Xenopus tropicalis: one gene and its partners. The protein of the gene in region 7 interacts with the protein of the main gene of each other region in a biochemical or structural test. Links are inferred from orthologs where the notes say so. Each region holds a gene or a part of one and is shown on either strand. Other genes may lie near its edges. The genes, in order: ptpn11, syk, yap1, shc1, nrg1, abl2 and erbb4.

What was found.
Region 1: the proteins of erbb4 (region 7) and ptpn11 form a complex in vitro, tested with the Homo sapiens proteins (2 studies listed by BioGRID, with this or other methods). The link is inferred for Xenopus tropicalis from reciprocal best matches to the Homo sapiens genes ERBB4 and PTPN11.
Region 2: the proteins of erbb4 (region 7) and syk form a complex in vitro, tested with the Homo sapiens proteins (2 studies listed by BioGRID and IntAct, with this or other methods). The link is inferred for Xenopus tropicalis from reciprocal best matches to the Homo sapiens genes ERBB4 and SYK.
Region 3: the proteins of erbb4 (region 7) and yap1 form a complex in vitro, tested with the Homo sapiens proteins (2 studies listed by BioGRID and IntAct, with this or other methods). The link is inferred for Xenopus tropicalis from reciprocal best matches to the Homo sapiens genes ERBB4 and YAP1.
Region 4: the proteins of erbb4 (region 7) and shc1 form a complex in vitro, tested with the Homo sapiens proteins (2 studies listed by BioGRID and IntAct, with this or other methods). The link is inferred for Xenopus tropicalis from reciprocal best matches to the Homo sapiens genes ERBB4 and SHC1.
Region 5: the proteins of erbb4 (region 7) and nrg1 form a complex in vitro, tested with the Homo sapiens proteins (2 studies listed by BioGRID and IntAct, with this or other methods). The link is inferred for Xenopus tropicalis from reciprocal best matches to the Homo sapiens genes ERBB4 and NRG1.
Region 6: the proteins of erbb4 (region 7) and abl2 form a complex in vitro, tested with the Homo sapiens proteins (2 studies listed by BioGRID and IntAct, with this or other methods). The link is inferred for Xenopus tropicalis from reciprocal best matches to the Homo sapiens genes ERBB4 and ABL2.

The regions. Positions count from the first base shown.
Region 1 is NC_030677.2:163,806,652-163,810,755, reverse strand, and holds the start of ptpn11 (tyrosine-protein phosphatase non-receptor type 11), read right to left. Parts: upstream 2,801-4,104; 5' UTR 2,611-2,800; coding exon 2,597-2,610; intron 1-2,596. UniProt on the Homo sapiens protein: Acts downstream of various receptor and cytoplasmic protein tyrosine kinases to participate in the signal transduction from the cell surface to the nucleus. Positively regulates MAPK signal transduction pathway. Dephosphorylates GAB1, ARHGAP35 and EGFR.
Region 2 is NC_030677.2:138,474,559-138,477,028, reverse strand, and holds the end of syk (tyrosine-protein kinase SYK), read right to left. Parts: intron 2,381-2,470; coding exon 2,240-2,380; intron 1,667-2,239; coding exon 1,554-1,666; intron 1,198-1,553; coding exon 1,125-1,197; 3' UTR 501-1,124; downstream 1-500. UniProt on the Homo sapiens protein: Non-receptor tyrosine kinase which mediates signal transduction downstream of a variety of transmembrane receptors including classical immunoreceptors like the B-cell receptor (BCR).
Region 3 is NC_030678.2:162,266,733-162,269,320, reverse strand, and holds part of yap1 (transcriptional coactivator YAP1), read left to right. Parts: intron 1-1,138; coding exon 1,139-1,329; intron 1,330-2,529; coding exon 2,530-2,588. UniProt on the Homo sapiens protein: Transcriptional regulator with dual roles as a coactivator and corepressor. Critical downstream regulatory target in the Hippo signaling pathway, crucial for organ size control and tumor suppression by restricting proliferation and promoting apoptosis.
Region 4 is NC_030684.2:145,082,904-145,087,171, reverse strand, and holds the start of shc1 (SHC-transforming protein 1), read right to left. Parts: upstream 2,801-4,268; 5' UTR 2,086-2,800; coding exon 1,489-2,085; intron 1-1,488. UniProt on the Homo sapiens protein: Signaling adapter that couples activated growth factor receptors to signaling pathways. Participates in a signaling cascade initiated by activated KIT and KITLG/SCF.
Region 5 is NC_030677.2:96,880,261-96,883,760, forward strand, and holds part of nrg1 (pro-neuregulin-1, membrane-bound isoform), read right to left. Parts: intron 2,432-3,500; coding exon 2,308-2,431; intron 1-2,307. UniProt on the Homo sapiens protein: Direct ligand for ERBB3 and ERBB4 tyrosine kinase receptors. Concomitantly recruits ERBB1 and ERBB2 coreceptors, resulting in ligand-stimulated tyrosine phosphorylation and activation of the ERBB receptors.
Region 6 is NC_030680.2:99,860,116-99,863,615, forward strand, and holds part of abl2 (tyrosine-protein kinase ABL2), read right to left. Parts: coding exon 2,021-3,500; 3' UTR 1-2,020. UniProt on the Homo sapiens protein: Non-receptor tyrosine-protein kinase that plays an ABL1-overlapping role in key processes linked to cell growth and survival such as cytoskeleton remodeling in response to extracellular stimuli, cell motility and adhesion and receptor endocytosis.
Region 7 is NC_030685.2:57,165,216-57,168,715, forward strand, and holds part of erbb4 (receptor tyrosine-protein kinase erbB-4), read right to left. Parts: intron 2,903-3,500; coding exon 2,770-2,902; intron 1,015-2,769; coding exon 921-1,014; intron 1-920. UniProt on the Homo sapiens protein: Tyrosine-protein kinase that plays an essential role as cell surface receptor for neuregulins and EGF family members and regulates development of the heart, the central nervous system and the mammary gland, gene transcription, cell proliferation, differentiation, migration and apoptosis.

The DNA of each region.
Region 1 (4,104 bases), on a different chromosome or scaffold from region 7:
GTTTAAATTTGGACTGTCTGCTTAAAATATTCCTTTTTGTACTTTGTGCATTCTGCTTCTCCCCTACCCTATCACCTTTTGTGCTTCTTTCCCAAGGTAATAAAATAAGGTGATGTATCACACTCTTGCATACCCACTCATTGCTAGTTTTAGCCATCAATATGAACATGAGGTCACAAGTTCAGAACATAATCAGTAATTTGAGGAAAATGTTATATTACTTACCCTAGCTGAGTAACTGGCACCTAAGCAATATGGTAGCTCTTACTTTTAAGAATAATTATCATCAGTCACAAAATGGACAAAACATGGAAAATGTAGTACAGATACGGGAACTGATATCTGGAAAGTTGTTATCCAGAAAGGTCTGAATTAAGGCCAACTCCTATAGAGTCCATTTAAAGCAATTACTTGTAATTTAAAAAAAATGAATTTTTCTCTGTAATAATAAAACAGTACCTTGTATTTGATATTAACTAAGCAACATTATTTCCTATTGGGTTTATTTAATGTTTAAATTATTTTTAGAAGACTTAAGGTCTAGAGATACAAGATGCCTTATCTGCAAACCCCAGGTCCCAAACATGACAGGAATGATAGCATCCGATTTATGTTCCTCTGAAAGCTACACATCAGCATTTCCCCCATCAAAGCCTGTAACATGTAATATTAAGTTTCTCAGATGACGTGTATGTCTGCTGCAATAAGAGAAACTACCAAAGTTAGAGCAGGGGTCTCCAACCCTTTTTACCCATGATCCACATTTTAACTGTAAAAACATTTCGGTCGACTCCTTCGTTCCTCGCAGAACAACCGTTTGGTTGCGCCCCCCACCACTACTGCTGTTTCCCGCCTTAAACCTTTCTGCCTTGCTGCCCCTTACATTTGGAATGCCCTCCCCGATTTCCTCCGGAGAGAATCCTCCCTCAGTCTTTTTAAATCTAAACTTAAAGACTACCTTTTGGAGCACTCACCCAGCACCTGATCTGGGAACTGGCACTTATATTGTAGTGTCACCCACTGTGACCTACAGAACTTACATTTGCCCATTTGTGTCTGTTAGTTACCCCTCCCATATAGATTGTAAGCTCTACGGGGCAGGGACCTCCTTCATCTTGTTTCTGACTCTTATTGCAACTGCACCTTGTATTTATTGTTGTACTTTGTATTTATCCATTATCTTTAACCCCCTGTTTGTATTAATGTATTCTACTGTACAGCGCTGCGTACATAAGTAGCGCTTTATAAATAAAGATATACATACATACATACACACACACACACAAGCATGAAAAAAGTTCCCGGGGGTTCCATATAAGTGCTGCAAATGGTTTTTTGGTAGCCTCTCTGTGGACTGACAGGCTATATGAGGCTCTGCTTGGCATAACAATTGGTTTTTATGCCACCAACACTTGCCTCCAACCAGAAATTCAAAAATAAGCACCTGCTTTAAGGGCACTGGGAGCAACATCTAAGGGGTTGGTGAGCAACATCATGCTCCTGAGCCAATGGCTGGGGATCACTGAGTTAAAGGGACAATTGTATCTTTATTCATTACTTAAATGTAAAGTGATCAGTATTCCATGGCACTTGCAATGTGATCTCATTTTAGCAGGACAAACTAGACAGACAAATGCTGTAGTTTTACTGTGGCTGATCATAAAAATCAATAGTCAGTCTGCTTGGTCAGAGGCAAGTCTGCCCCTTTGCTTGAGCTGCCTGTCAGGTGAAAGAATTGGTGTCTGGTAAGAAAATGTGTGGAGACAGCTTGGAATAAGGATGCTGTTACACAAGAGAATAAGCTGCCTCCCTCCCACCCACCATGGCTAAATAAATAAGATATATGTACCAGGTTGCCAGGTTATTAACTACACCCACTTTGTGTTTACATACATGTCAGTACATTCTCTACTTCAAAGAAAATATAAAAACAAAAACAAAAAAAAAACATTGCTTAATAAAAACCTGTACTTGTAGACACTTTTAAGCACGTATTAATTACACATTGTAATTGTTTTAAAGGTATTTGTAAACAAATATACCAGCTAGTATCGATGTGCCTATTTTTATTCTCTGCCCTGATGGCTCTGAGGTTTGCAACAATGTAGCCAAGGCCAGCTAATAAACAGCCACAAAGAAGCACACTTCTGCTACAGTGTTTGAAAAGAATATAGATTCACATATTTCTTGAGGCGCTCGTTCTTTAAACGGGGTCCCAATCGCGTTAACAACTAAAGGAGCTCCACTTTCCAGTGTAATGCCAGTGTAACGCCAGTGTAATGCCTATGTCCCGTCAGGAACAAATGAATGAATGAGCAAGTACAACGAGTAGGAACTACACTTGTTTGGGGATAAGACGTTCCGCCTCAGCTGCTGCGAGTTGTAGTTCAGCCACGGTTGCTGGGGTAGTGTGGGACTGTGGGACTTTTTGATCCTTCACAGCTGGAAAGTACTAAACCCGAGCAGCGCCACATGCAAAAAGCGAGCAGACAGAAGAGAAGCTTCTAAGACAGCATAAGGCGCAGCGAATAGGAAAGGCAGACAGCGACTGACAGTGTTGACAGAACAGATACAATGAGACTTTGCGCAATCTCACCTCCTGGATGTCATTGTATGAGCCCAGCTCCTGGTCTCTGTGACCCGCACTCACTCTCTAGCTCGCCCCCTTTGTGCGCTGTTTTGGGACGGAGGCTGCAACACCGACCCGCCGCGTACACCCCCTTCTCTCCCAGTCGGTGGCTGACTGATTCAGAACGTTTATTTGAGTGTTAGCTCCATGGAGGCCTTAAACTCTACAACCAACTCTGCCCGGTCCGCAAAGGATGACGTCATTAGACAGCGCCAAGTCGAGGAGACGAGTTGTTGTACTACCGCTTCTAACTTAAAATACACCAGTAAAGTTGTGCAGAGAGTGGTATATTAAAGAATGGCATCTGTGTTGGCCACGATTTTTGACGAAATATTCTGTTTCTAACTTCTGGGGCAAGCAGACGACCGGCCTTTATTTCATCATTTCCGGCTTCATTGGATGGCCAGATTCTTTAATAACCTGTGTTTTAACTGTCAGCAAGTGAACCAGTCGCTAATTAAGGGAAAGCGATACCAAAGCACCATTTGATGAAATTACTATACCGCTTCTATCTGTTTGTAGATAGTATTAGAATGGAGGACTACGTTTCCCAGAGTTCCCAGCGGCGGCCGTGACGTAACGCGGCAGGTTCTTATACGTGCGTTGCCCGGATGTTAATTCTTTTTCCTTACAGCCAAGGTAGGAATGGCGGTTCCTGTAAAATAGACGTACTAGTGTGTAGTTTAATCTGCTGTAATCCTAGCCTGCATGATTGTCCACATCCTCTTAAATCCACGATGTATGTTACTGACCCTGTCTAGCATCTTTTTATCTCTGTATTTTTGGTCTTTGGCGTCCTGTTTGGCACAAATACCGGATGATCGGTCGGAGTGGGGTTTGAGGCCGCCGAATGCTTGTTGGCATTTTCTTTACTGAAAGGAAGCATGTAGTTTAAGAGCTTTTGCTACGTAGGTTTATCGTTTAAAACCCTGGCCCTAAATCTCCTCTTTAGAGTTCCGAAACGCCGTAGAAGCCACTACTTGCAAATCTGTCAATAAATGCATGTATAATGCAGGATTTGCTGTCTAAATTAATATTTACCCACTAAGCAACTTTCCTGCATCATGAAAATAAAAAAAAAAAAGTAACACTGTATGAGGGCTGATTTGTGTTCATCTATTTCAAGGGTCCGAAACAGGAATACACAACTGCATTAACAAATGCCTTAAAATTATTTAATTGTGCACTTCTTGGTTGAAGATCCATTTATATGGTTAGGGCAGCCGAAAAGGTGACTTATGATGTACTCTTGAAATAAAGTAACAGAAGTTGCCCTCACGTTTATGGAACATCACCTAGAACAACTTCTTTAGTCCCTCTTTTTGTTTCTTGCTCACCTTTTAAAGAAGGAAAGCCCTTGTGTTTTTAAATTGAGTTGTTTGTAATGGTAAATGTTATTTAATTACCTGTTCTACTTAGTTGTAACTGACCCCTGTCAATGTGGTTGAAGGGATAGCCGCATTAAATGTAAGCCT
Region 2 (2,470 bases), on a different chromosome or scaffold from region 7:
CTTATACCACTGTGACCTACATCACTTATATTTGCCTATTTGTATCTGTAAGTTACCCTCCCATATAGATTGTAAGCTCTACGAGGCAGGGACCTCCACCCTCTTGTGTCTTTGACTCTTAACTTATTGCAACTGTAACTGTATCTTGTATTTATTTGTATTTATTGTTATACTTTGTATTTATCTTTTATCTTATTAACCCCGTTTGTATTAATGTATTCTACTGTACAGCGCTGCGTACATAAGTAGCGCTTTATAAATAAAATTATACATACATACATACATGGGAGGCTAATCCCATATGTTGAGGACATTTCCACTCTAACATTGACTTGTGGCTTCAACAGGACCCAATATGTACAAGATTTTCTATTGCAGAAATTTTGGAATCTGAACATAAATATAAATGACCTGCTTGCAGCCCTCAAGCTATATTTTAGTGAACTCTGCCCAACTCTGATCTACAGGGAATCAGTTGTGTGCAACAACGTAGACAGTACTACTGAAAACTGTTTTATTTGGTACATTATTAGACTTTACAGACAGGTATATATATATTAAAAGAGCATTTAATTAAGTATAAAATAAACATTTATTAGTTATAATAACTGTTACATGCTCCAGTATTCTCAGCACCATACTGCTAAAAAATAAAGATGTTTTCATATACATATACCTATTTTGAATTTAAAAAACACACATAAAAAGGCCATATTCAAATGGAGGAATGGAATCTATTATCCTAAATGCTGGGGACCTGAGGCTTTCAGGATGAGGGGTCTTTCTGTAATTTGGAGCACCATAGCTCAAAGCAAATAACAATCCAATAGGATTGTGTTGCCACCAACCTGGATTAGCTACATTACCATCAAGTACATGGAACTGCTCTATTAAAACAAAGAAAAAGTAAATAACTAAAGAAAGAAGAATTGATGACTTAAATAGGACTCTATGGAAAAGGACACTGCTGTATTTTGTAGCATTCTGTATACTGGGTTTCTGGATAATAGAACCCATTCCTACACACATACACACACACACAGATATACACATGTGCACTAATCACCCAAACACCCTGAAAAAGTTCCTGGTTGTGCAAATGTGTCTGTCCCTTTGGCTTCAAATCAGTGAGAACTATCATAATAATAACTGCGCAGTTTCAGTTCAACTACAGCAAAAGATGGTCGCTCCTCTGTCCTGTAAAAGAGATAGGTGGGAAACAAGTAAATATCCAAATATCAGAATATCCAAGGCTATTGTGATACTAATATCTACAGTTAGTATTAGTGGTTGTATATATAGTTTATGTATGTGAGTGTATAGATAGGTCACTATAGGTTGTGTGTGTTGGGTTTACTTGGATGGGTTGAACTTGATGGACTCTGGTCTCTTTTCAACCCTATGTAACTATGTAACTATGTAACCATGATGAAAGATCAGGGGGCTGATTTGCAGTTATAGGTGATATATTGCACTTGTTCACTTGTCCAAAGCAACCAATTAGATCTTATCTTTTTTGTAGTAGGCTAATAAAAACTCTGCTTCATACTTACTTATATGTCCAACATAATTTAATTAAATTGTACATTTCTGCAGGACAACGTCGCGGGCACTCCAAGCGGTTTCCAGATTCAATAAAAGCTGTCACTTCATTACCTTTCATTCCCTGATAGAATATAGAATGCAATCATTATATTGGTGTTGAACTTTGTTTTCTCTTTCCTTGTAAAAGCTGCCATTTGATATTCTAATGGTGGATGATGAATTACGTATAAATATCATCTTCCTATATAAAATGTATTTTTTTTCCCTGCCCTAAAGTCTGTACAACCAAAATCCTGCAGCACTACCTAGATGCGGTAATATGGGAACAAAACAACTTATTGGTTGCTATGGGTTACTGCCCCTCGCAATCTTAGTGCCTTTTATTACATGAGGGGGTTAATAGCTTCTGCTCAAGAATGGAAATAAAGAGTCTTTATGAATAAGATGTATTTTGAGTTGTGATTTAATATGTTGTTTAGCAGGGGCATAGATAGTATGGAATTGGATTCGCTATTAAACTAAGAGAACTAGACCGTGGGCAACTGAGTATATCCTATACTTCTCTAAAGGGGTATATCATCCAACAGACTCTGCCTACCTATTGTAAAATGAAAACACATTAGGTATGGCAAACAACACCTCCTAACAATGAAACAATGATAAATATAATAAAACAGAAGAACCACCAACTTACCGGATATGGCTTTAGACCATAGGAATATGCCTCCCACATCAGAACTCCAAAGCTCCATACATCACTTTTGCTTGAAAACTTATGATAGTTTAATGATTCAGGGGCATACCATTTCATGGGCCATTTACCCGCAGTCTTTGCCTTTAAAGAAAGCACACATGCTATAGTATAAATGAAAATCTTAGTTGGACACCAGGCTGATTCTTCTAGTGCTGAGTGAAGGTCACATAA
Region 3 (2,588 bases), on a different chromosome or scaffold from region 7:
ACATTTGGTTCTACATCATAAATCATTTCTAGTGGCAGGAGGGCACAGTGTGTTTTTGCTGATTTATGGCCCTTTGGCCCTGCCTGTGGCTTCCATGACGTGTTGTGTCTACACTGCCTGAACGGTTGTCGGTTGCAGGTTATCTTTACCTTTGGGCAGTTTATAGGTAAACAAGGAAAGTGGTGCACGTTGCCCTTTCCAATGTTGATGGCTTAGATGAGTTGCTCTTTTATTTGCTTGTCGGGTCCGTGCCCAATGGCCATTGTTTGGCATTTGGTCACACTGCTTACATAGAGCATCAGCCGGTCTATAGCTGCCCATACATGGGCCAATATTCGCTGCTGGCTCAGCCTATACAGATCAAGTCAGTAGATTATTGCCTGGACAGATGTGCAAATCCCATCTGGAAAGCCCACTGCAGGGACATTGACACTTTCAGTTTTAATAGGGAGGTGTCTCCGTGCCTATATATACCCTAGTGTCACTCATCTTTTCTATTGGTTGTGCCCCCTGCCACCCCCAGCTCACCACTTACTAACCTGTGTAGATCTCAAATATGGCTTAAGCTTTGAGTGACGACACACTTTGTGGTAGAGAAAGGTTCTGATTAGCTGACAGACAAATGTTATCAGTATCACTATTTCTCTATGTGCTCTTACCTGATGGGGTGCCATAAGCTCTTATATATGAACACGTCTTTAGCTAGGGGGTAAATTATTGAGTCAGCCTGAATTGACCTATCACAAGCCCCAGATCCAGCGAACGCTGTTTCTTTTATACATTTGCCAGTACTAGATGCAGTGAGATACCAGCAAATGCTACTTGCATAATCCTTTATTGGCAGATTCCCATTGTACCTACCACTGGCACCTGAGGGTAAGTTGTTGTAGGTGGGAAGTTTTACACAGACTTCAAACAAAACCCTAATCTGAGGATCTAAAAACTTGGCCCCAGTCATGATACGTTGCCTTGATAACTGGTAAAGGACAATGAAAGGTTAATTTACTAGTCGGGTGGGGGCCAAAATGTTGGGCACCCCCAGTGAATTTAATGGCAATGTTTTTCCCCCCAGGCAGGTGCTCCTTTTAGGAATGTGTTTGCAAACAAGGCTAAACTTACCATGTCCTTTCTTTTTCAGCTATGAATCAACAGAGGTTGAGCCAGAGCGCCCCAGTCAAATCGCCGCCCGCGTTACCGCCCCAGAGCCCTCAGAGTGGGGTGCTAGGCAGTGGCGGTAACCAACAACAGATGCGCCTCCAACAGCTACAGATGGAGAAAGAGCGTCTCCGGCTAAAGCACCAAGAACTGCTTCGGCAGGTGAGGCCACAGGTTAGAAACCGCCTTTTGTTTCTTATCTATGTGTTTGTCTTGTCCTATAAGAGTAGCCAAGGGGATGGTAGATTGTGCTCAACTTGGGGCGCTCGGGTACTGAGGGTCATTGGCATTCTGTAGCCAACACTAGGCGTGAAACCTATGAACAATGACTACCCCCCCAAAGCTTGGTCTCACCCACCAGGCTGCACCCCTAACAGCACCTTCCCGCTGCACTATGGGGTAACAGAGCCGGGCTGGCTAATGAAGCCCTGGCCTTGGCAGGAGTTGGGGGCTTTTGGCACACAAGGTGCATCACCCTCACAACTGGTTTGCCGGCAGCTTAACTGTAACACTTGTGGAGTCAGCGTGGCACCCTGATTCTCTGCCCGCCCTGATCCCATTGTAAATAATATCGCTTGGCTTTACATTAATCGCTTCCTTTTAAAGCCAGACAATATATTGCCGTGCAGCACCTCGCTGAATACCTGAAATAAACTTCTCTGGTTTTTCTCGTTTTCGGGTTGAAAAACCTGTCTTTGAGCAGAAACCTTCCCAGAGCTCGTCTCAGACAATATTGTGTTCTTTTTCCCCCGCGACGCAGTTGTTTCTATAACAAGTCGCTGACATGCGTTGGCTGCACGTTTTTCTTCAGGGATTTGAGCCCTTTGTGTGCCCGAGCCTTTGATCATTATTGCTGCCCACAAACCGGATATAAACTCTGTATATAAACAGCTTTTATTCCCTGTTTCTCTTAAAGGGTTGCAAGAGTTGGACCGACCTTACTGTCTTTTTAAAGAAAATGGTATAGGGGAATGATTTAGTATACAGAGCATAGAGTGAGCCGCCATATTGCTTTCACATGCCATTATGCTTATACCTGTAAAATCATCCCACGAGCCGCTGTTTTACCTTTAACTTGGTGCTTTCATACTACATAGGGGTAATTGGATGATATCCATAGTAGTGTATGGGAGATCTGAGACTGCAGCTCACATGATATCCCCTGGGTTATATTCTGGCCCCTATAGCTGCTGTTTGGGGTAAGCTCACAGAGGGCAGATAACCTACATGGGGTTGTGCCCCTATGCATTCGGGCAGTTGCCCATATATAGGGCAGATGCAGTTGTACAGTTGAAGCAGATATATTCTGCCGCTTTCCCTAACCAAACAAGCAGTTATTGAATTTAATAGTACACAGGATCCATTGTTTTCCAGGAACTCGCTCTCCGCAGCCAGATCCCACCAATGGAGCAGGACGGCGGCACTCAGAACCC
Region 4 (4,268 bases), on a different chromosome or scaffold from region 7:
GGGTAGGGGCACAGACAGCAGGTAGGAGTAGAGGGTAGAGATTGGGACTAGAGGGTAGGGGCACAGACAGTAGGTAGGAGTAGAGGGTAGAGGTTGGGACTAGAGGGTAGGGGCACAGACAGTAGGTAGGAGTAGAGGGTAGAGGTTGGGACTAGAGGGTAGGGGCACAGACAGCAGGTAGGAGTAGAGGGTAGAGGTTGGGACTAGAGGGTAGGAGCACAGACAGCAAGTAGGAGTAGAGGGTAGGAGCTGGGACTAGAGGGTAGGAGCACAGACAGTAGGTAGGAGTAGAGGGTAGGAGCTGGGACTAGAGGGTAGGAGCACAGACAGTAGGTAGGAGTAGAGGGTAGGAGCTGGGACTAGAGGGTAGGGGCACAGACAGTAGGTAGGAGTAGAGGGTAGGAGCTGGGACTAGAGGGTAGGGGCACAGACAGTAGGTAGGAGTAGAGGGTAGGAGCTGGGACTAGAGGGTAGGGGCACAGACAGTAGGTAGGAGTAGAGGGTAGGAGCTGGGACTAGAGGGTAGGAGCTGGGACTAGAGGGTAGGAGCTGGGACTAGAGGGTAGGAGCTGGGACTAGAGGGTAGGAGCTGGGACTAGAGGGTAGGAGCACAGACAGCAGGTAGGAGTAGAGGATAGAGGCTGGGACTAGAGGGTAGGGGCACAGACAGCAGGTAGGAGTAGAGGGTAGAGGCTGGGACTAGAGGGTAGGGGCACAGACAGCAGGTAGGAGTAGAGGATAGAGGCTGGGACTAGAGGGTAGGGGCACAGACAGCAGGTAGGAGTAGAGGATAGAGGCTGGGACTAGAGGGTAGGGGCACAGACAGCAGGTAGGAGTAGAGGATAGAGGCTGGGACTAGAGGGTAGGGGCACAGACAGCAGGTAGGAGTAGAGGATAGAGGCTGGGACTAGAGGGTAGGGGCACAGACAGCAGGTAGGAGTAGAGGATAGAGGCTGGGACTAGAGGGTAGGGGCACAGACAGCAGGTAGGAGTAGAGGGTAGAGGCTGGGACTAGAGGGTAGGGGCACAGACAGCAGGTAGGACTAGAGGGTAGGGGCACAGACAGCAGGTAGGACTAGAGGGTAGGGGCACAGACAGCAGGTAGGAGTAGAGGGTAGGAGTACAGACAGTAGGTAGGAGTAGAGGCTAGGACTAGAGGGTAGGGGCACAGACAGCAGGTAGGACTAGAGGGTAGGAGCACAGACAGTAGGTAGGAGTAGAGGGTAGGAGCACAGACAGTAGGTAGGAGTAGAGGCTAGGACTAGAGGGTAGGGGCACAGACAGCAGGTAGGACTAGAGGGTAGGAGCACAGACAGTAGGTAGGAGTAGAGGCTAGAACTAGAGGGTAGGGGCACAGACAGCAGGTAGGACTAGAGGGTAGGAGTACAGACAGTAGGTAGGAGTAGAGGCTGGAACTAGAGGGTAGGGGCACAGAGAGCCCTGGTAGCCCAGAGAAACAAAGCCCAAGAAAGAGAAACATGGCCTTACCCTGACCAGATAGGGAACCCCGGGGCCCATGACCTTGTCGTCGGGGTGCAGCCAGCCTCGGGTGGGCTTATTGACAAAGCTGCCGTGCCGGGTCCATTCGTCGCCGGCCAGTTGGCCTCCTTCCACCCGGGACTTTCGCCCGCAGCTCAGTTTGTTCATATCCTGTGAGAAAACAGTGAAAGTCCGGCCTGATTCGGGGCTACTGCCTTCATTGGGGGTGTCCCCTTGCTCCCCGGGGCTGGCGCTCTCCTTCCCCCCCATGGAGGAAGAGAAGCTGCGCAGGTTAAGCAGGTTGGCCGGGTTGGAAAGTTTCAGGTTGGCCATTTTGGGGAAGAAGGAGCACAGAGTGGTGGGGCTCTCCTCCGACTCAGAGGACAGCTCGGCCAGCGGCAGCATTGGGGCAAGGGAGGAAGACGAGGCAGAGCTGGGCAGGGACACCATGATTTCCACCGAAGGGCTGAGGGGCCCAGCGGCCAAAGCCTCTTCCACCGAGCTGACCGACTCATTGCGAAGGTGATTGTATTTGGTTTTGGGAAGCAGATCCATGATGCCAGCTGCCAGCTTGCACTCGACAGCAATGGGGGGTCTGGTTCTCATAGTCCGGTACCGGGCAAACCTGTATACACGGATCTCCCTCCAGAACCCCACATTGGTACCCCTCCAATCAGCTAGAAAGGGGCAGCCAGGAGCCGGGCTGGGGCATTGGCTTGAGTGCCGGGGAGAGAAGAATCCAGCGGGAGACCAGCAGGTTCTGATCCGGGAGCCAGAGAGAGGAGAGTGTCACTTGGTGCATGTCCCACTCACTGTGCATGGGGGCCCCCTCCCACTGATCAATACATTCCCTACACGGCCGCTGATGGGTGGGTACCTCTCCCCTGGCCTGCGGGGCCCCGGCACCCTACGGAGAGAGGATATGGGAGAGCCGGCAGCACCGAGCAGGAAGGCAGCAGAGGAAATGCTGAGGGGGGGGGGAAATAAATCCATATATTTATATCTCCGATGTGCGGCTGGGGGCTCCTCTGGGGGAAAGGTCAGCGAGGGGGGGGGCTAATCCTTGTGGGAAAATGTGCAGATGGACACCGGGCCGGGGGAGGGAGCCATTCCACCTGCCTTCCTACCCATCTCTGGGGCAGGGAGAGAGCTCAGGTGCAGGGGGGGTGGGAGCCTTGCACTGTGTGCGAGTGTGAGTGAGGGACGGTGAGTGGGAGTCGGGATGAATGGAGCTGGGGCTGCCTGATTACCTATTCACTGGCTCCCAGGAGAAGGAGGCTGCTGCTGGCCAATAGCACGCGCTCTGCTGACTCACCCAGCTACTGCCCCCCCCTCACTTCCTCCTCTCAATGAAACCCACCCCCCCCCTCCTACTCACTACTGGGCCCCGGAGCTGACTATCTACTGCTTGCAACAGTCTCCCCATACATCACAGCCCTCAGTTCATCTAAGCCTGGGGGGCTCAACCAGCATGGAATAATGTGGGGGGGGCACAGAACACTAATAAAATATATATATTCCCAGTCACTTGTCTTTAGGGACTAACTATGGAATGGGGAGCTAGGGGCCCAGCCTGAAGGCCAGTTAGGGGTACCCCTGGAACTATAGCGGGGTGACTGTTACCCAAATGTTTCTATATATCTGTAACCTTGTTATGGGCTAAGGGGGCCCAGCCTGAAGGCCAGTTAGGGGGGGATTTGGGGTGAGTGCTTATTTGTGCCCTGGGTACCCCTGGAACTATAGCAGGGTGACTGTTACCCCAATGTTTCTATATATCTGTAACCTTGTTATGGGCTAAGGGGGCCCAGCCTGAAGGCCAGTTAGGGGGGGATTTGGGGTGAGTGCTTATTTGTGCCCTGGGTACCCCTGGAACTATAGCGGGGTGACTGTTACCCCAATGTTTCTATATATCTGTAACCTTGTTATGGGCTAAGGGGGCCCAGCCTGAAGGCCAGTTAGGGGGGGATTTGGGGCGAGTGCTTATTTGTGCCCTGGGTACCCCTGGAACTATAGCGGGGTGACTGTTACCCCAATGTTTCTATATATCTGTAACCTTGTTATGGGCTAAGGGGGCCCAGCCTGAAGGCCAGTTAGGGGGGATTTGGGGTGAGTGCTTATTTGTGCCCTGGGTACCCCTGGAACTATAGCGGGGTGACTGTTACCCCAATGTTTCTATATATCTGTAACCTTGTTATGGGCTAAGGGGGCCCAGCCTGAAGGCCAGTTAGGGGGGGATTTGGGGCGAGTGCTTATTTGTGCCCTGGGTACCCCTGGAACTATAGCGGGGTGACTGTTACCCCAATGTTTCTATATATCTGTAACCTTGTTATGGGCTAAGGGGGCCCAGCCTGAAGGCCAGTTAGGGGGGATTTGGGGTGAGTGCTTATTTGTGCCCTGGGTACCCCTGGAACTATAGCAGGGTGACTGTTACCCCAATGTTTCTATATATCTGTAACCTTGTTATGGGCTAAGGGGGCCCAGCCTGAAGGCCAGTTAGGGGGGATTTGGGGTGAGTGCTTATTTGTGCCCTGGGTACCCCTGGAACTATAGCAGGGTGACTGTTACCCCAATGTTTCTATATATCTGTAACCTTGTTATGGGCTAAGGGGGCCCAGCCTGAAGGCCAGTTAGGGGGGGATTTGGGGTGAGTGCTTATTTGTGCCCTGGGCACCCCTGGAACTATAGCAGGGTGACTGTTACCCCAATGTTTCTATATATCTGTAACCTTGTTATGGGCTAAGGGGGCCCAGCCTGAAGGCCAGTTAGGGGGGGATTTGGGGCGAGTGCTT
Region 5 (3,500 bases), on a different chromosome or scaffold from region 7:
TGCATTTTGCTTCTTTAGGGCATCAGCAGCTCTTTTATGATCCTGACACCAAGGTGGAAAAAAATGTAAAAAGTGAACATTTTAGTTTATACCTTCTACAAACCTCATGGTTGTAGACTTTACTCAGCACATTAATTGATAATGCAAATTAGCAAAAGTATTCTAACTGAAAAATATATAGACTTACATAGCCTGTTTATAAAAAATAAAAGAGCAAAAATACAATGTGGCCTGATGGATAATATAAAAATACATTGTGTTGATAAACTATAAACATTAAATAAACTGAAGGCCTTAAGGATAAAAATAAGTTGTGTTGATATACTATAAACATTAAATAAACACATTTTTCATCACCATAGTCAAAATAACAGCAGATTATAGTAAAAGATTAAAACAATCACTTATTGATTGTGAAAATAAAATTAAACTGGTTTGGTATAGACAGTTGCCCCTATATGTAATTTGCCTCTACTTGCCCAGGTGCAGTAACGTAGAACAACCAATAAAGTGCTTGCTTTTAAACCGATGATCATTAAATGTTAATTTCTGAATGATTCGTATTGGTGACCAGTACCAAACTTTGCATCTTTTATTACATAACCCCCGTATAGTTTACCAGGCTTCTAGATTGTAAACTCTTTTGGGCAGGGCCCTCTTCTCCTTCTGTATCACATTATTGGTTGCTTTGTATATAAATCTGTATATTCATTGTATATACCCATTAACTGTATATAGCACTGTGGATTATATTGGCAGTTTGTAAATATGTGTTATTAATGTAATAATGTAATAGCTTCTAACACTTATATAAATACTCTCTGTATTAAATTGAATGGGTAAATTTAATGGGATTGTGGTGGTGCCTAATGTGCATAGAAGAAGAAATTATTTTTACACTTATGATATTCATATTGACAATGTTACACGTGGAGTTGTTTTCCCCACGGCTACTCAGAATCTCTTCTAATCTCTCCTAATTTACTTTGGACAATCAACTTGTTGCTCTGCATTTTTTGCTAAGAGTTGCAATTAAGTTAAATAACAACTTGAAAGCATAAACACTGCTATATCAGTACAGTATTACAATATCCACATGAAACAAATACAGTTTTAAATGTTCACTTTTATAACCCAGTGCCATGTAAAAAATCAAAAGCTATGTAACATATTAAAGAAAAAGGAAGAAAGTAATATCCAACAAGTACTGTGCTTTTGTTACAGAAAATTAGTAAATACGTTCTTATTCCCCCTTATTTATACATGCTAATATGGTTTTTATTACATGAATAGGTAATATATGACTATATGATATATATGATTCCAAGCATAAGTCCAATTTTGAGAAAGGAGCATTGAAGTGCTGAAACTTTTGTTAAAGATACCTATCAAATGTTATGTACACTAGATAATCAAATCTGCATTATTATTGAAAAGGAAAAATACACAAATATATTATTCTTTAAAGAATATAATTTTCTGTTTTTTGTAGTAATGTAATGGAAATATGTAGGCTATGAAAGTAATGAAACAATTGGGTGGAACTAGGAAGGGATCATACAGCATTTCATACTAAAAAAAATTGTGTTTTTGGCTGCTCGCTATTATTCCAGGTCATTTTAGTGAGTTCAGATATAAATGAACTGATTGCGTGTTTGCATGTGTGCTTGCTGGAGGTTATATAGAAGATTTATGGGGTTATGTAATAAAAGGCACTAGGTTTACACAGGAACAGTAACCCATAGCAACCAACCAGCAGGTAACATTTTTGATCACCTGTTTAAAAGCAAACATTTTATTGATTCTATGGGTTACTGCTTCCAGGTAAACATAATGCCTTTTATTAAAAATGGGGGTAAATGTGGTATTTTTATGGTATTAAAAAGGTTTTATCGCTATACTGTGTATCCATATTACCTTTTTTGGCTAAAGCAAAAAGGGTAATATGAAATGTTAAAAGCATAATATAAGCTATAGATTTACACTTTTCTGAATACTCTAAGGACAATAAACCAATTTTTAATTGGTAAAAAAAAATTATTGTTTTCAGGTTTTATCAAAATGTGCTAAAATTACCCATTAACTATAATATGTAATCTTAGAAGATGTATAATATTTTCATAACCCGACATCACTTAACAATGTTCTGGGACTTGTCATTCAACAACAGCTTGATGGCCAAGAGCAGGACAGCCTTGCAGCAATACCATTACACTTCAAAGAGCACAAGACTTTAGGTTGGATAGTTACTTTCCAGTCAAAATAAACATGTCATTCAAAGTATTGCAGTCTGTAAACTTGTCTTACTTGCACATGAACTGGTTGCTGCTTGTTATACCATTGAGGACATAGCACTCTCCTCCGTTGACACAGTAGGTCTTTTCTTTGTCTGAGCATTTTATAAGGTGACCTGGTCCAGTTGTGGTGTCACCTGACAAAACAGATAATACCATTAGTGCACTAGTATACAGGTTTATTAACTGTTGCACTTATTATCATGCCACAAGAATAGTCTCTCAGTTGACCCCAAAATCAGGATAATTTTATTACAAACTATTGAGGAGATTTTTGTACATACTGGGAATTGCAATGTCAGGTGAACAAACAGGTTTGTCATTACACCCATTCAATATATCAACAATCATATTGAATTTACATTGCAGGTAAATACCTGCAAATACCATATCTAAATACCCATTATCCAGAAAGTTTAGAATTATGGGAAGGCCATTGCTAATATACTCCATTTTAATTTAATAATTCCATACTTTAAAGCATACTTTCTTTTTCTCTGTAAAATAAAACCGTACCTTGTACTCAATCTCACTTAAGATAGTATTAATTCTTATTGTAGACAAAACAATTCTATGGGTTTAGTTAATGTTTAATTTTTTTTTTTTTTTTAGCAGACACAAGTATGGAGATCCAAATTATGGAAAAGACCTCTTTTCCAGAAAACCCCAGGTCAAGATCATTCTTTATAACAGGTCCCATACCTGTACAGATTTTAGGAAATACAAACATACTAACAAAACTATTGGATTAATTTAATTGCATAAAAATGTATACTATAAAATTAAAAGGACCAAAAATTAGTTGGCTGTAAAATATTAAAACTCAAATATAAATATAAAGTATATAAATATACTTGCCCATATGACAATGGGAAAACATGCACTAATTCAATAACCAATAGCATATCATACATATTCTTAAGGTGGCCATACATAGGGTGATTAAAGTTGCCAACTTATTGTCCTGTGTATGGAACCTTCAGATGGACCTGCCCGACTGATACTGATCGAGCAGGTTTAAAAATCCCTTTAGGGTGAAAAGTGCATTGGCTTATTGATGCAGTCCTCACCCTGATGGCCCACATCCTGTCACTGTGATCCAATTGTTTGGCCCAAAGGCTAACTGGATCAATAAGATAAAGATCTGCTCATCTGGTGACCTTGCTAAGCCTATTGCTCAGTGTATGGTGAGCTTTAGTCTTCCCT
Region 6 (3,500 bases), on a different chromosome or scaffold from region 7:
TCTGCCCATTAAAGAAAGTATAACCTATAAGATCCTGTTTTTCACTCTGTAACCCTTGTTGGTGAAATTATTTAAGATCCCTGTCAGTTAAAAGTTAATGTAAAGCACGATTAACTTTCTGATGCCATATAAATAAATGATGAGATGTGCTGGAGAACTCTACCTATAGTGTTAACATAGAGAGGTCCCTTGATTGGGCGGGAGAGCACGCACACCTTTTTAGTTTTGATGTGCAGGGAAATGTGTTTGCATGTACAAGTGCTGCCAGTTATTCAGCTTAAAACTCCAGTTCTGCCTATTTTCCAGTATAGTCCAGGTGCAAGTACTTCGGGCCATTGTAACAAAAATATGAATTAATTTAATACTGTACCAACATATCGGCCGAATATAACCATTCCAATGTAGAATACTTTTTATACATTGATTTAAAGAGCCTGAGTATCCTACTCTTATCCTGAAAACCTCCCAGGAAACCTATCATCGTGCCAAGGGGAAAAGACTGGGTTTTTGCAATGGAAAGAAACATTCAGTGAATCAATGTTTTTGAAACGGTCTCAATAGCAGCTTCTATTCAAAACAGACAATATTAATGCAAAAGCAAAATAATATGGTAAACTTCTACCTCAATTGCTTTTACTGAGAAAGGTGATCTACCTTTCAGGTACTGATAAACCATGTATAATTTCCATTAAACTAGAGGGGGAAAAAATTTACAGCTCCTTAAAATTGGAGCACTTTTAAATGGCTAAATTCCTGAAAAATATACCCACAAGCATTGCGCTTGGCTTTCAATTTAAGCTGCTTAAAATAAAAGAATGGCAATAAAATACAAGCTGCTCCTCAACATTATTGGGTAACACTTCAGCTGCTCAAGGTCTCCCATAGCATGGCTACTGAAAAGACAGGAGAGCATTGCTTTCTGAGAAAATGTCCATTCCAACTCCGTTTAAAACTGCATGGATTTCAACAATGACCTGTGCTAAATTATAAAATTGTTCAGGAATGTTGTTAATAATGAAACAGGGGCAACACAGATTGACTACAGTGATGCCGGGTGTAATGGCTGGAATGAACTAGCAAAGGGAAAGTAACCATCAACATAAGCACTATAGAAAAAAAAAAGTTTAGTCTTTTTCATGTAAGATCTGTGCCTACAAAAAGGCCATAATGGGTATTATGAATTGTCCACTGCAAAAGAGGCCTGTTCCTCAAGGGGCCCATATTAGTATGGTGCAAAAGATATGGCCACCAGGCCCCTTTAGCAGCAAAGAAGCTAAATGAGGTATAGACACAAAAGAGCATATTTATTATAGTATGAAAGCCAACTTCACTGGTGATATTGCTCTTAGCAACCAATCAGCAATTAGATTTAAACTGTCACCTACAAGTTAGAAAACAAAAGCAAAGATCTGACAGGTGGCTATGGGCAACATCACCAGTGATGTTGGCTTACTCACTATAATATATATGCCCCAAAGGCAGTTTTCCTTCCAACACTTCCCATACAGTGATACTCTCTTTTTGCTTTCAGTTTTTCTTACTTTAAATGACACTAGACCTAACCACCACTCATTCCTGGCACTATCTAGACACAGAAATGCTTATCAAATAAAGAACATTCCAACTTAGCCAATATCCTATTTGGACCCAAACAGTAGGGAGGAAAGAAATCTCCAATTTAAAATATATAATATACATATATGTCTAAAAACAAAACAAAAAAACCTGAGATGGGATAGGAAGATATGGAGAAGAAACATAAAATATTTACTGGATATCGATTTCTCTTAAAATATTTACTGCTGGGCTGCATTGCCTGCCAGTATTTTCCAGCAGAACTGACATGTTAAAACCATAGTGCTGGGGAGGCCAAAGCCCCTTTACTGGCCAGTCCCAGCGCTGAGGTTACTACTCACTGCCTACACACAGCAGTGTATTTCATAGTGGGAGGATGCTATTTTATAAAGCTGGGTTAGAAGTTAGAAATGCCTCCCACATTTTTCAGCATAAATATCAGTAGCTACCTCTGCACAACGTCACTGATTTCCTGTACACATGATAACAAGTGATTCAGTACAGGATTTGCACCAGGGGGAGCTGTGGAGGCACCCCCACTACCAGCTGAAGACACCTGCAGTTCCTGTAAGCTCACCTCCAGTCGACTGACAGCCTCACGAAAGGCAAATTTATTTCTTGTTTGGGAGATAGAGTCCACATAACCTGTACAATAGTCCAGAAGTTGATGTCCTGTATCTACAAGTTGACTGTTGGGTTGGGGTAAAGCGAGGGCATCGGATAGCAACCCTGCACACTGAAGAAGAGCCTCTTTGCTTATTTTTTCAGCAGGAACCCTCTCCGTTGGCTGCTTTGGCTTCCTCAGCACACTTCTTCCAACCCCAGCTGCTCCATTTGAGAGCTTTCCTGTCTGGTTAACAGAAGGCGGAGGGGGTAACATAGGCCTAGAAGGCTTAGTCGTCCTTTCCAAGCAAGGTAGTGTAGGTGCAGCAGTGGCTGTGTCCTCAGCTTGTGGAGGCTGAAGAAGGCGCAGGTTTGGGGGAGGTGGTGGGGCACACTTTGGCTTAAGCCGGCGATGAGAAGGCCTATCCCTCTCAGAGCCAGTTGGTGGGACGTGTTCCTGAAGCAATTTGAAGGTGTGACCCAGGGAGTCCATCCCAACCAGTTGCACCTCAGTAGATGCATTCCTTGGTGATGGTGAAATGAGAACGGGCACCTTGTGGTTGTGGGCTGCTGTAGAAAAGGCTGAAGTTGCACCTCCTGTGTGCTTATTGGGTGATGACTTCTCATCTGCACCAGTTCGCAAACCACCATTTCTCTCACTAACACCAGTTCGTGGAAGCATCTTGGGCTTTACCCTGTCCCTGACTGGCTGAATCTCTAATCCACTCCTTTGAAGGTCATGCTGGCTCTCTTCAGGCTGTGAGGAAATGGAGGTGGTACGGTCCAATTGGACCTTAGTCCGATGGCAATTTCTGGGCAGAGTCATAGACAGCCTGTCTTGTTCAGGAACCGCAGGAGACATTGAAGAGGTTGAATTAGACCGGGGAAAAGGTTTGGGTTCCTCCCCACTGCTTCCTGACTTTCCTGTTCGCAGTCCAAAAGTCTTTTTGATAAGACGTGGAGTAAAAAAACCAGAAATTCCAGTCCAGCCTCCTCCTATTCCTCCTATGACATCTTCTGGTGGAAAACTACGTTGTGATCCACCACCATAGCATTTATGGGAACCAGGGGATGCAGGGGAGTCTAAACTATCAAGCTGTTGAAATGAAGGGAGTTCTCCTGTCAGCTCTGGCCTTTTATGAGGTTGGTTTTCCATTTCTCGAAATGAACTGCTGCGTTTTGGGGGCTGTGGGGCACTTTTTTTCTTCATGAAAGAACTGAAGAATCCCCCTTTACGGTCACGGGTGAAGGTTGTTTCCTTGGTGTCCCCCAAAAGGCTGCTTGGGGATTTATCCCTCTGTTTGCGTGGAAGTGCAGGAGAG
Region 7 (3,500 bases):
CACTGAATCGTTTTTAAGAAGAACTAAAGCTTAAGTAAAGAAGTAGAGCAGAAATGTTCCATATTATGTTTTGGGTTTCTGTATCAGCCCCAGTCAACCACAGCCCTTTAGCAGGGAAGATATGTGCCTCCAAAGATGCCCCAGTAGCTCCCCATATTCTCTTCTACTGATTCACTGTACCTGCTCTGTGCTGCTTTCAGTTGCTGAGCTTAGGAACTGCCTCACAATATACTTTATATATAGAATATAAATGTCACACACAATATAAGGCTGATGAATAAAAAATTTGGATTAGTACATGGCATTTCTGAAACCTGTATAATTAGCATCAGAATTTATTAATGAGGCCTGCAGCATCAGTTTATATGGTAGTAAAACCTCATTTTCTGATTGATAATTTGTGACCACAACTAAGCTTCTCAACAGTATGTGCAGTGCCACTGAAACTTTAACAAAATCCAAGATAACTCTGAAGACCTGAGTCATTACTACTATAGAGATGCTGAACCTTTAGGCTGTTGCAACAAGTTCAGTATATTACAACAAAACCCCTTAGTAAGTCTGTTTTTATTCTGGTGAAGAAGAAGGTCCATAAGCTCCGTGCGAAGTAAGCTGTGACTAAAGCAATCACTCTAACACGTGCCGTTCCGTTAGGCCTAATTTTCTTTGATATCTCACTTAAAAAGAGAACTATATGGAAAAGAAATGGATCCAGCTTTCAGCCAATTATTGTACAGCTCTGTGTCTCATTACCAACAATCAGAGCCAGCAGTTAAAAATGTCTTGCCATGGATCTGAATCATTGGCCATTTGCAGTAACAAGAAAAAAAAAAAAAGATACTGTATGTCCATAAAGTAATGGCTACAGCAATGTGAGTGCTTTTTGACACTGTACTAAAGACCACTGTGCTAGTCCTTACCGGCCCATAGCAGGTGACTATGCTGTCTTCCATCTTCTCGCATTGAGAGTCACACATTACACAGACAGAGCCATTGACAAATTCACGGGATTCTCTGTAGAAAAATGTTTGAAATGGTGGAGAGATCAGGATATAAATAGTACTAAATATATATGTAAATAAATATCTCTTACTCTTAGCTATTTGTTTATTGTCCGATTAATAATTGCACAGTGCACGTACCTGACCTTGTTAGAGCAACCCTGAAGGTAAGTACTGCTAGAATGTGGTCTGAAATTTACCATTCTTCATAGCCAGCAGCCCTTTACCCTAAAACTAATATTATTAATTCCGCTTAATTCAACTTGGTCTGCCCTTTCTGCTACTTTATGAAAACTTCCTTTATGTTTGCAGATGTGACAAAATACTGTTATGCTTTTAGTTCTATTTCTCCTCCACTAATTAAATGCGCTTTATAAATGAATGCCACAATTGTGTTTGAGCTCATTTCATCAGGAACAGTGAAGTTCAGAAGAGATGGAACTGAAAACCAATAAAACAAAAGCAGAGCAAGTGGGAAAAGGCAAATCAGTTGAGGGAACGTGTGAAAAGAGATAAGGTGTGGAGGAGAGTTCAGCGGGAATGAAAAATGGAAGGGAGCGGAGGAAATGTCCCTGCTTTGCCAGGAAACATCCGCTAATTAAAATGGATGATCTCGGGGGGGAAGAGGATTTCATTACAATGAAAGACTGTTTATTATCGTGCTGTAGGAGGGACACATGGAAATTGATGGTGCATTCTTAAGGATCATTATATTTACTGATACACAAGTGACGGAGGGGGCTAGAGCTTTGTTTGGAAATTCATCAGATTAACCAGTGCAACACATAAAGGCACTAAAGCATGTGAAATGCAAACACAGGGCTGAAGTTGTAACATTGTTATCATTAGATGGGGTTTGGGAAGGAGAGACGTTTAAATATTATTATATAGTTTAACCTATTCCCTAAGTAATTCTAATTTTCCAACACTTAATATCCAACATAATTATTTTTAATAAACAGCACTTTTTATTTTCTTTACTTATATTATATTGCTTTGATTTGCTTCCCTTGAATAAGAGCCAAACAGTGGTCAAATACAATTGTGCACCTTCCTAACACAAAATAAACAGGAGGGATATCCCACAAAATCTGACAGCTCCCTCCTACAGTGCATCTAGATCATCTCTCAAAGATCCAGCAGGTACATGGCGTCTAGCAGCTTTTCTATCTACATGTAAGAAGGTGAAACATGTTCATGCTACTAATAAAGTGTAAAGTGTATAACAGAGAATAAAAGGAACAGGAAACTGAGAGGCGACGGCCTTTTTGGCAGTAGGAACAGCAGTTTTTCTCATAGAGACAGGTAAGCCTGAAGTGGACGTGGGGATACCAGCAAAGGCATTTGTGGTCATCAGAGTATTTTGTGTTAAATAAAAGATAAAATTGGTCAATTGGAGGAGTCTTCCACATATTATTAAGGAGCTCCACTCCAACAGCTAGTCAAATTAAATTCTTAAGCCTTTAGCTAATTGGTTTCAAAACTGAATCCAAGCAGCTTCAGCTGTTGGTAAACTATACCTCCCAGTACCATAAACTGGGCAATATGCTACACTCGGGTTGCCCCTTTGCCAAGATGTTCTGCAAATTTTAGTAACAATTTAACTCTTTCCTACCCTTTTACAACCCCCACTGGCTGTAGAACAATGCTTGCAGTTAAACTTCAACTAGTCAACTTATTTTGATAAGCTGATTTGTACATTAATTTATAGCAGTTACCAAATATTGGCTTGAATTAGGCGTGTCAAATACTTCCCTTATTCTCTTACCCTTTATAAAGGTTGCAGGATCTGACACATGACTTCCCTCGGCTGAAGTATCGACAGGACAGGCACTGATTGGCCCCTGGACCCCAGCACCCAGCATTGGAACAGAGAGGGTCACAAACCATTCCTTCTGCAGCTGCATAGAAATAAGTAAGGTTACATGGCAGTAACAAATTAGCTGGGTTTGAAAAAACTCATTCATAAATTTACCTTTCTTCCTAAATACAGCTTAGCTTCCAGCTTGTCTAGCAACTTTCAACAGCTTTGATAAATATGCCACTATGTTAAAAACTTTACTGAATATCAAGAATCCCCAGTCTGATCAATAATAAAACTGCCCCATGTCTTATAAGAAACACATCACTGAAGCTGTAAGTTCGCCTGTACTGTAACCGCGCCCATTTTTACATGCCCATTTTGATGCGTCCTTGCCTATTTTGACGCACAGCAAATTTTTTCACACCAAAATTTTGCTGAAATTTCGCGAAACAATTCGCCAATGGCGAAATGTGGAAATTCACTGCAAATCCATGGCTGCCGAAAATATTCGATCATCACTAGATGCAAGTACCTTTAATAGAAATAATTTTAAACACAAATAAGCCTTATATGTTTTTATGATTGCATGATGGGGGTGATAGCAGCAGAACAAGGAAAGGCTACTCCCTTGGTAAATTCTTGTCCCTGTACCCTGATGCCACCACTTTGGCCATGCTGAGAGAAGTTACAGAATG